2 linked regions of the Macaca fascicularis genome follow. The protein of the gene in region 2 interacts with the protein of the main gene of each other region in a biochemical or structural test. Links are inferred from orthologs where the notes say so. Each region holds a gene or a part of one and is shown on either strand. Other genes may lie near its edges.

Region 1 (4,195 bases), on a different chromosome or scaffold from region 2:
TTAATATTTTTAAATTTTTTTTTTAATGAGTCAGGCTGTTTTTTTGGGGGGGTGTGTCTCATTCTGTCACTCAGGTTGTCACGGCGCGATCTTGGCTTGCTGCAACCTCTACCTCCCAGGCTCAAGTAATCCTCCCACCTCAGCCTCTCTAGTAACTGGAACTATAGGCATATGCCACAACGCCCAGCTAATTTTTTGTAGAGACTGGATTTCGCCATGTTGCCCAGGCTGGTCTCGAATTGTGAGCTCAAGTGGTCTGCCTGACTAAGTCTCCCAAAGTGCTGAGATTACAGGCATGATGCACCTGGCCCAAAAGTTCATTTTGCAAATGCTTATATTAGCAGGTCTCACTTCTCCGGGGAAAGATCCTAAATATCAGTTTCTTAAACTGCAGCCTCAATTGCTTAGTAATGTTTTGGGGGAGGTGGTCGTTTTATAATTTTAAAAAAAATTATAGATTTTTTAAAACACAAGCGTCTCTTTCACAACGGTAGTTTGCATATACAGTACTAGGATGGGAAGTGCTTCACTTACAGTTGTTCACTGACATTTTGTGTGGCATCCAGATTTTTTTTTTATTTTTGAGACAGGGTCTGTCCTCACCCAGGCTGGAGTGCAGTGGTGTCATCACAGCTTACTGCAACCTCCACCTTCCAGGCTCAAATGATCCTCCCACTTCAACCTCCCCAGTAGTTGGGACTACAGAAATGTGCCACCAGGCCTGGTTAATTTTTAAATTTTTGGTGGAGACAGACTCACTAAGTTGCCCAGACTGGTCTTGAGCTCCTAGGCTCAAGTGATCCTCCCACCTTGGCCTCCCAAAGTGCTGGTATTACAGGCGTGAGCTGCACCACACCCGGCCCAGAACCTCTTTTAAAATATTCTTAAAAATTAAATCTGGGCCGGGCGCGGTGACTCATTCCTACGATCTCAGCACTTTGGGAGGCCAAGGCGGGAGGATCACTTGAGCCCAGGAGTTCACTTGACCAGCCTGGGCAAGATAGTAAGACCCTTTGCCTCCACAAAAAATTAAAAAATTAACTGGGTGTGGTGGCGCATTTCTGTAGTCCCAGGTACTCAAGGGGCTGAAGTTAGAGGATAGCTTGAGCTGGAGAAGTCGAGGCTGCAGTGAGCTATGATGGCACCTGGCCAACAGAGCAAGACCATTTCTCAAAACAGAAACAATAACTGTTTGAGAAACTTTATTTCTTCATCCGAAGACACTGCTGAATGTCACCTACATATAATGCCCGTAAGTTCACTTAAAATACTCCCCTCCGATTCCCCCATCCCCTCCTACTTAGTGTGCAATCAACAGGTTCTTTTCTTCTTCCATTTCTTCCCCCAGCCCCAGACCAAGAATTGGCCCATTAAGTCCTCCTCAACTAGTACCCTTCCTGCCTTTTTCTAGCTATATTGTTTTTGGCGTCCCGGATTTCTTGAAAAATGCTTCCCTCTCCAAGTGGGGCCTTCCTAGTATCTTTGCAGTAGGGCCAGTTGGGGAAAGGCACAAAATTCAAACCCTTTTGTATCTCGCAGAGCTGGAAATCCGAATTTTAAGTGGCCTAGGAAATGGGAATCTGGATTTCTGGGATGCATGAAATATGTAAACTACATAGCTGTTGTCATTGATAAACAATTATAACGCAAAACTACTGCGATTTCATTTTGTGGAACGGGAAATATTCCCTACAAAGGCGCCCGGGAAATCAGACTTCGCTTACTGTTTCCTCAATACTGGAGGAAATCTTTCCTTCTTACTGGAGGTAAGAATTTACAGCATAGGCAAACTGCAGGAGCAAATATCCCTACACGCCCTTTTGTCGCTTAGACTTTTCTGCTCCCCTCCCCCTCATCTCAAGCGGTTAACGGCTAATGACCCCCATAGAAACACTGTACCCTGAATTGCATTACTTGTTTCATTATCCAGAAAGGAAAGTTTCCTGTGCTAGACCAGGGAGGGAGTAGTGACCATATCAAATGAATTACAACTAGTACCCGAAGGCTTACCCAGGGGGAACAAAGAAGTTTGCTAAAGGCAGATGAGAAAGAGCGCCAGCACCCTCCTAACGTTTGTATTTTTAATAGAGACCATGTTGGCCGGGCTAGTCTCGAACTCCTGACGTCAAGTGATCCGCCCGCCTCGGCCTCCCAAAATGCTGGGATTAAAGGCGACAGCCACGGCGCGCTGCCCCAAGTTAACCTTGGCTCTAAAAGTTGCCTTCGCTAACATTCTAGTTGATCCTCTAGAACTGAAGCAGAACAGAGGCAGCACCACCTTAAGAAATTGTGGTTATAGCTCTCTTTGCGACAAAGTAGGTGGCTCTGAAAAGAGCCTTTGGGTTTGGAGGTGCTTACATAAGCACTTACTTGGAGCTAGTGTACTTGGTAACAGCCTTGGTGCCCTCGGACACAGCATGCTTAGCCAGTTCCCCGGGCAGCAGCAGGCGCACAGCCGTCTGGATCTCCCTGGAGGTGATGGTCGAGCGCTTGTTGTAGTGCGCCAGGCGGGAAGCTTCGCCCGCGATGCGCTCGAAGATGTCATTGACAAAGGAGTTCATGATCCCCATGGCCTTGGAGGAGATGCCGGTGTCGGGGTGGACCTGCTTCAGAACCTTGTACACATAGATGGAATAGCTCTCCTTTCGGCTGCGCTTACGCTTCTTACCATCCTTCTTCTGCGCCTTAGTGATGGCCTTCTTAGAGCCCTTTTTAGGGGCAGGAGCAGACTTAGAGGGTTCAGGCATCGCTATTCCTAAAACAAAACAAAAAAGCTACTAACACTCTCCAGCAGAGTAGTAGAGAGAACAGTTCAGAGCCCACGTATTTATAGTCCTGAGATTCAAATGACGGTTTAAGATTCCTCACTTCTGATTGGATAAAAGAAATACAGTTTCACTGAGGGGTGGGGTTTATGCAAATATGGAATTTATGGACTCTTTTTCTATTGGATAAAGCAGGAAACATAATTGACCAATAGGATAACTCTCTATTGCAGCCTTGCAGTTTGTATAAAAGTATTTCTTCAGGCGCCATTCCATCTTGCTTGTTTTTTACAGTTTTCAGAGGTCGCTGTGTTTGGACATGGAAAACGGAAGTAAAGCACAAAGTTGTTCATCGGTACCAGCCTTGCAGTTTCTAGTAGCGCAGGGTCCATCGTCTTTTTCGAAAGGGCAATTATTCTGAGCCTGTCGAAGCCGGCGCGCCGCTGTACTTAGAATACCTGGCCGCCGATATCCTGGAGCTGACACGCAGCGCCATACGTGACAAGACCCATAGCATCCCCCGCCACTTGCAGCTGGCCTTCCGCAACGACGAGCAGCTCAACAAGCTGCTGGGCAAAGTCACTATTACTCAGGGAGGCGTCCTGGCCAATATTCAGGCCGTCCTGTTGCAAAAATAACCGAGAACCACGATAAGGCCAAAAGCAAGTAAAGCCCACTCAAGCCAGAAAACGTACCTTAAACTTGCTACGGCATTTTTCAGAACCGTCCATTGTTTCACAAGAAAGGATGGTAACTTGCTTGTGTTTCGGGTACCTTTTGGTTTTGGTTTGGATTGGTTTGAGACAGAGTTTCGCTCTGTCACCCAAGCTGGAATGCCGCCGCGCGATATCGGCTCACTGCAACCTCCACCCCGCGGCTTCACCAGGTTCTCATGCCTCAGCCTCCTTTGTACCTGGGATTACAGGCGTCTGCTACCACGCCTAGCCAATTTTTGTATTTTTATTCGAGACGGGGTTTTCACCATTTTAGCTAGGGTTGTCTTGAACTCCTGGCCTCAAGTGATCCTCCCATCTTGCCCTCCCAAAATGCTGGGATTACAGGCGTGAGCCACGGCCCCCCTAGCCTAATGGTGTTTAAAAATTAAGTTTCGAGGAAATATCTTCTTTAAGAAACTACATTTTAGAGTATACAAAGTGAAACTAAAGCCAACCAAAATAAGACAGTTTGAGAACAGTCAGGGTGGGAATGTGACTTGGACTTAGAAAACGAAGGATAAGGAAACTGGCTGTTGACCAGTAACAAAATAGCATGGAATTCTCATTCTCTGAATGTAAGTAGTTTCCGACATGAGGCAGTCAACGTTTCTGGTGGTTTAGTGAGTGTTCACCAGCACTGATAACTTTCAAGACTGTCAGGAATGCAGAATTTCAAGTCCCACGCAAACTTACTGAATCGGAATTTACATTAAA
Region 2 (4,082 bases):
ATCCCAGCACTTTGGGAAGCCAAGGCGGGCAAAGTGCTTGGGCTCAGGAGTTCGAGAACAGCCTGGGCAACAAGGTGAAACCCTGTCTCTACAAAGAATACAAAAAATAATAATAATAGTGTACTGGTGCATGCCTGTAGCCCCAGCTAGTCAGGAGGCTGATGTAGGAGGATCACCTGAGCCCAGGGAGATTGAGTCTGCAGTGAGCTACAATCATGCCACTGCACTCCAGCCTGCAGGCAGTGTGAGATCCTGTTTCAAAAAAAAAAAAAAAAAAAAAGGCCTTAAAATAAATTTTCTATTTCTCTTGTTTGGTCATGAAAGTGACCAGAAAACACTCAAATCTCAAACTTTGGAAGTGGTGCTACATCTCACCCATGGAAATTTGAAAAGATCAAAAACATCAATGCAGGCCACATATGCTCATGGTTTTAGACAAAACCAAAACTTCAGGAAAGTTTTCAGATATTAAAGCTACAGCAGGCAGCAGGAAGTCTTTAAGAGGTGCTGGTAATGATAACCCAATAAACAAATGTTAAAATAAAGCCAGGACAGAAACACTGAGTTGACACAGTTCCTGCATGAGCCCACTTTGGCTGCAAAACGCCAAGGCCACCAAGTAATTGACCTTGCTTTTTTTTTTTCATAGGTTTTGGGGGAACAGGTGGTGTTTGATTACATAAATTCTTGAGTGGTGATCTGTGAGATTTTGGTGTATCCATCACCCAAGCAGTATGCCCTGAACTCACGACCTTGTTCTTAATTCTGTACCTAGCTCTCCCTTCTGCCTACTACAGTCAGTGGCCTGTTCTCATTCATCTAATGCCCTTCATGATCAACTCCTGGGCTTGCACCTTTCAAAAAGCACACTCCCCACTTCATCTTTTTTGCATTCCTTCTTCAGAAATAACCACACGGCATTATTATTTGTTTCTGTCTTTTCTGCTAAATTCAACGGGGACAAATAATATACTGTCCAGGTCTGAATTGGAATGTGGTCTGTGGACTAGCGTAGTGCCACTTGGGAGTTCGTCAGAAATGCAAACTCTTAGCTTCCACCTCAGACCACCTGATTCAGAATCAGCATTTTAACCAGCTTCCCCAGGAGATTCCCATGCACATGAAAGTTTGAGGAGCACTGGGCTAGATCCCACATTCACTCAACAAATATTTATCGAACCAGTATAGGATACAGAGGTGCTCAACATAAACATGAGGATACGGTGTGGAAAAAGAGCAAGCACAGACATTCCATTGTGACTAAGAAGCTCCTGTAAGTACTAAGAAGAGTATAACCCAGATGTTCCAGTAGAATAAATAATAGTTATATCAAAATTCAGAAGTGGCCACTGCAGCTTGGTTGTGGGAATTGGGAATCCGGAATCTGGGAACTTGACCCTCTTTGCAGCAGGCAGGAAGAATACAGGGAGGTGTGTGAGTGTGTGTGAGTGTGTCTCTTCCCTGCCTCTGCCACAGGCCGCAGGAGCTGACAAGGCCAAGTCCCCGCCCCCCTCAGCTGTCACCCTGTCAAAACAAAGCCGCTGCTGACAGCGCAGGGCCAGCCTGCCCCGCGGCCTCGGGCAATCCTCCCACCTCGGGAGCACGGCCCCCACATCTGGATCTGCAGCTGGGGATGACAGGGTGCCTAAACTGGCACGGAGAGTGGGTAGCAAGAAATGGGTGTCCTCAAACCAAGCAGTAGCGTCCGCGGCGCTGGGCTGTCACCTTGCCAAATCCTGTTTACACCTCGAGCAGCTGGGACAGCGTTTTAACTAAACAAGTAATAATACAATAATGACAGGGCTGTCACTGCGCGCGGCAGCGCCTCCGCCCCCAGCCGAGGGCGTCAGGCGCCACAAGACCCTCGCCTCGGGCTCTGCCCACCTTCGCACCCCGCGCTTTCCTCCCCTTCGCTTTCCCAAAGCGCCAGGAGTCCGGGAGTCTTCTCCACCCCGACTCCTTGCACCCAGTTCCTCCCAGTGGGACACGGGAAGGGATGGACTGCAGAAGGGACCACTCAGTCCCCCAAAAGATGTTTCCCTGCCCCTGGGTCGCCCACCACATGGAGAGCACCGCTCCACTCCCGCGAAAGTGACTCCAGCGAGCTCCTACAGAGCAACAAAACCCCAGAGTAGCCCGGGAGCTCGGATTCCGAAGCTACTCCTTTCAAGCGGAAGGAATGAAGGGCTCTCCGTCTTAGTGATCCCCTTCTTCAAACCCAGCAGGACTCTTATCCAAGAAGAAGCTAATTGGGCTCGGGCGACAAGAGCACTTCCGCGGTGCAGCGGCCCCAGGCGGGAGGCGGGAGGCGAGAGGCAGAAGGCAGAAGGCGGGAGGCGGAGGTGGAAGCGGGAGGGGGAGGGGGGTCCCGCGGGCTGGGCCCCTAGCACCCATCCGCGGTCCGAGAACGGCGAGCGCGTACCTTGCAGGCGGAGTACACTCCGAGTTTCTCCAGTTTCTTGGCCCGCGGAGCGGAGCGTAGTTGCGCCTTCTTCACGGCGATTCGGGCCGAGCCACCGCCTCCCGGTCCTTCGGCCGTGCCCGCTGCAGCCACTGCCGTTGCCGGACCGCAGGCGCCCGAGCCCCCGGCAGCAGCGGCGCAGGGGGAGCCCTGCGGGGGCGCGGGCGGCAGCACCACGGGCTGCGGGGGCAGCGCCCCGGGCCCGGCCCCTGCCCCGGCTCCTGCCCCGCAGCCGCCCGGCCCGGCCCCGCCAGCCTCGGACATGCCGCCCCGGAGCACGGCAGGAGGCGCCGAGTGTCAGGCGCCGCCGCCGCCGCCAGGGTCTCCCTCTCGGGCTCTGGTCGTCGGGAGAGCGAGACCCTCCCCCCACGCCCTCCCGCCCCCTTCGCCCACCCCCCTCCCCGCCCCCGCCCTCCCCCTCGCGCGCCGCTCGCCGGGCTAGCTCCGGCCGGGCCCCGCGAGCTGATGGTGGCGGCGGCGGCGGCGGCGGCAGCTGCTCCCCCAGGAGGGAGGGGACTAGCGGCTCCGCTGCCGCTGCCGCTGCCGCTGCCACCGCCGCCACAGCACACGCCCTTCCTTGGTTATCCTGCCCGGGACTCTGCTCCGCGCCCTGGCTGCGGACATGTTCCTCGGGGCTGCGGACTGGGTGTGCGTGCGGGCGGGTGCCAGCCTCGCAGTGTGTGCCGGGGCCGGGAGGCCCCCCACGGCTTCTTTTCCGCTGCCCGCGGGGTTTGCACCCCCCACCCCAGTGCCTCGACACCTACTGCTCGCCCGCCAGGGGGCGAGGCCAATCCCTGGGTGTGGGTGAGGGTGGGGACGAGGGTGGGGGTAGGGGACTGGAGCCCAGGCACCTGCTGGCCACCTCCCCCCTCCGCGGCCCCCCATCCGACCCCCGCACGCCCGCACCAGTGGGAGGGGGCCGCCTCTCAGTCATTTGTCCTTCCACTCTCTTCCACCCTGTCTCTGAGCAGAGACAACTTCCTCCACCCTAGCGGGAGCCAGAGGAAAAAAAAAATATTTTTGAAAAGTACCCGTCCATGCTAATCCTTTTCTTTGTTGCTAATTCACCAAAATAAAAGCGTGATGTTTTCCCTTTCTCTTTTTAAATACTTTCTGTCAAACTATGTTTTAATATAATTAACACTTTCTTCCTATAGCAATTTGTGGGTCAAATCTGCCAGAGGAGGGGGAAAAAACTTACTATTCCCTGTACTTTTTGTTTGAAAGTGCTGGTTGCTAAAAGAACGATTGTCTAAAAGCATTGTCAAAATAAAAACTATGTGCAGTGGAAAAAGTTTGAATACAAAAAGTTTGTTAACAGGACTCGTTTCTGGGTGGTGGTTCTATCACGTTACGTAGTTTTCAAAATTGTACCACCAGCGTGCATATTAACCAGGAAAAAGATATAAGCATCATTCAAAAGAATAAATACCGATTTTGGCCTCAAACTTAAAAAAAAAAAAAAAAAAAAAAAAAAACCCTCAACTCAGTTTTCAACTCTTGTTGAAAACTGTTGTTTTCTCTGTTGATGACTGTGGAGCATACATGTCAGTGCTGCGTTTGAAAGTGGCGTACGGTTGATCGCCTTCTTAAAGCAGGTTTTAAAAGTCCAGGGCTGTTT

What was found. The genes of interacting proteins can lie anywhere in the genome.
Region 1: of the proteins of KAT2B (region 2) and histone H2B type 1-B, one has a biochemical effect on the other in vitro, tested with the Homo sapiens proteins (3 studies listed by BioGRID). The link is inferred for Macaca fascicularis from reciprocal best matches to the Homo sapiens genes KAT2B and H2BC3.

Annotation. Positions count from the first base shown.
Region 1 is NC_088378.1:146,884,712-146,888,906, reverse strand, and holds the start of histone H2B type 1-B, read right to left. Parts: upstream 2,801-4,195; 5' UTR 2,748-2,800; coding exon 2,371-2,747; intron 1-2,370. UniProt on the Homo sapiens protein: Core component of nucleosome. Nucleosomes wrap and compact DNA into chromatin, limiting DNA accessibility to the cellular machineries which require DNA as a template.
Region 2 is NC_088376.1:28,389,037-28,393,118, forward strand, and holds the start of KAT2B (histone acetyltransferase KAT2B), read right to left. Parts: upstream 2,801-4,082; 5' UTR 2,726-2,800; coding exon 2,423-2,725; intron 1-2,422. UniProt on the Homo sapiens protein: Functions as a histone acetyltransferase (HAT) to promote transcriptional activation. Has significant histone acetyltransferase activity with core histones (H3 and H4), and also with nucleosome core particles.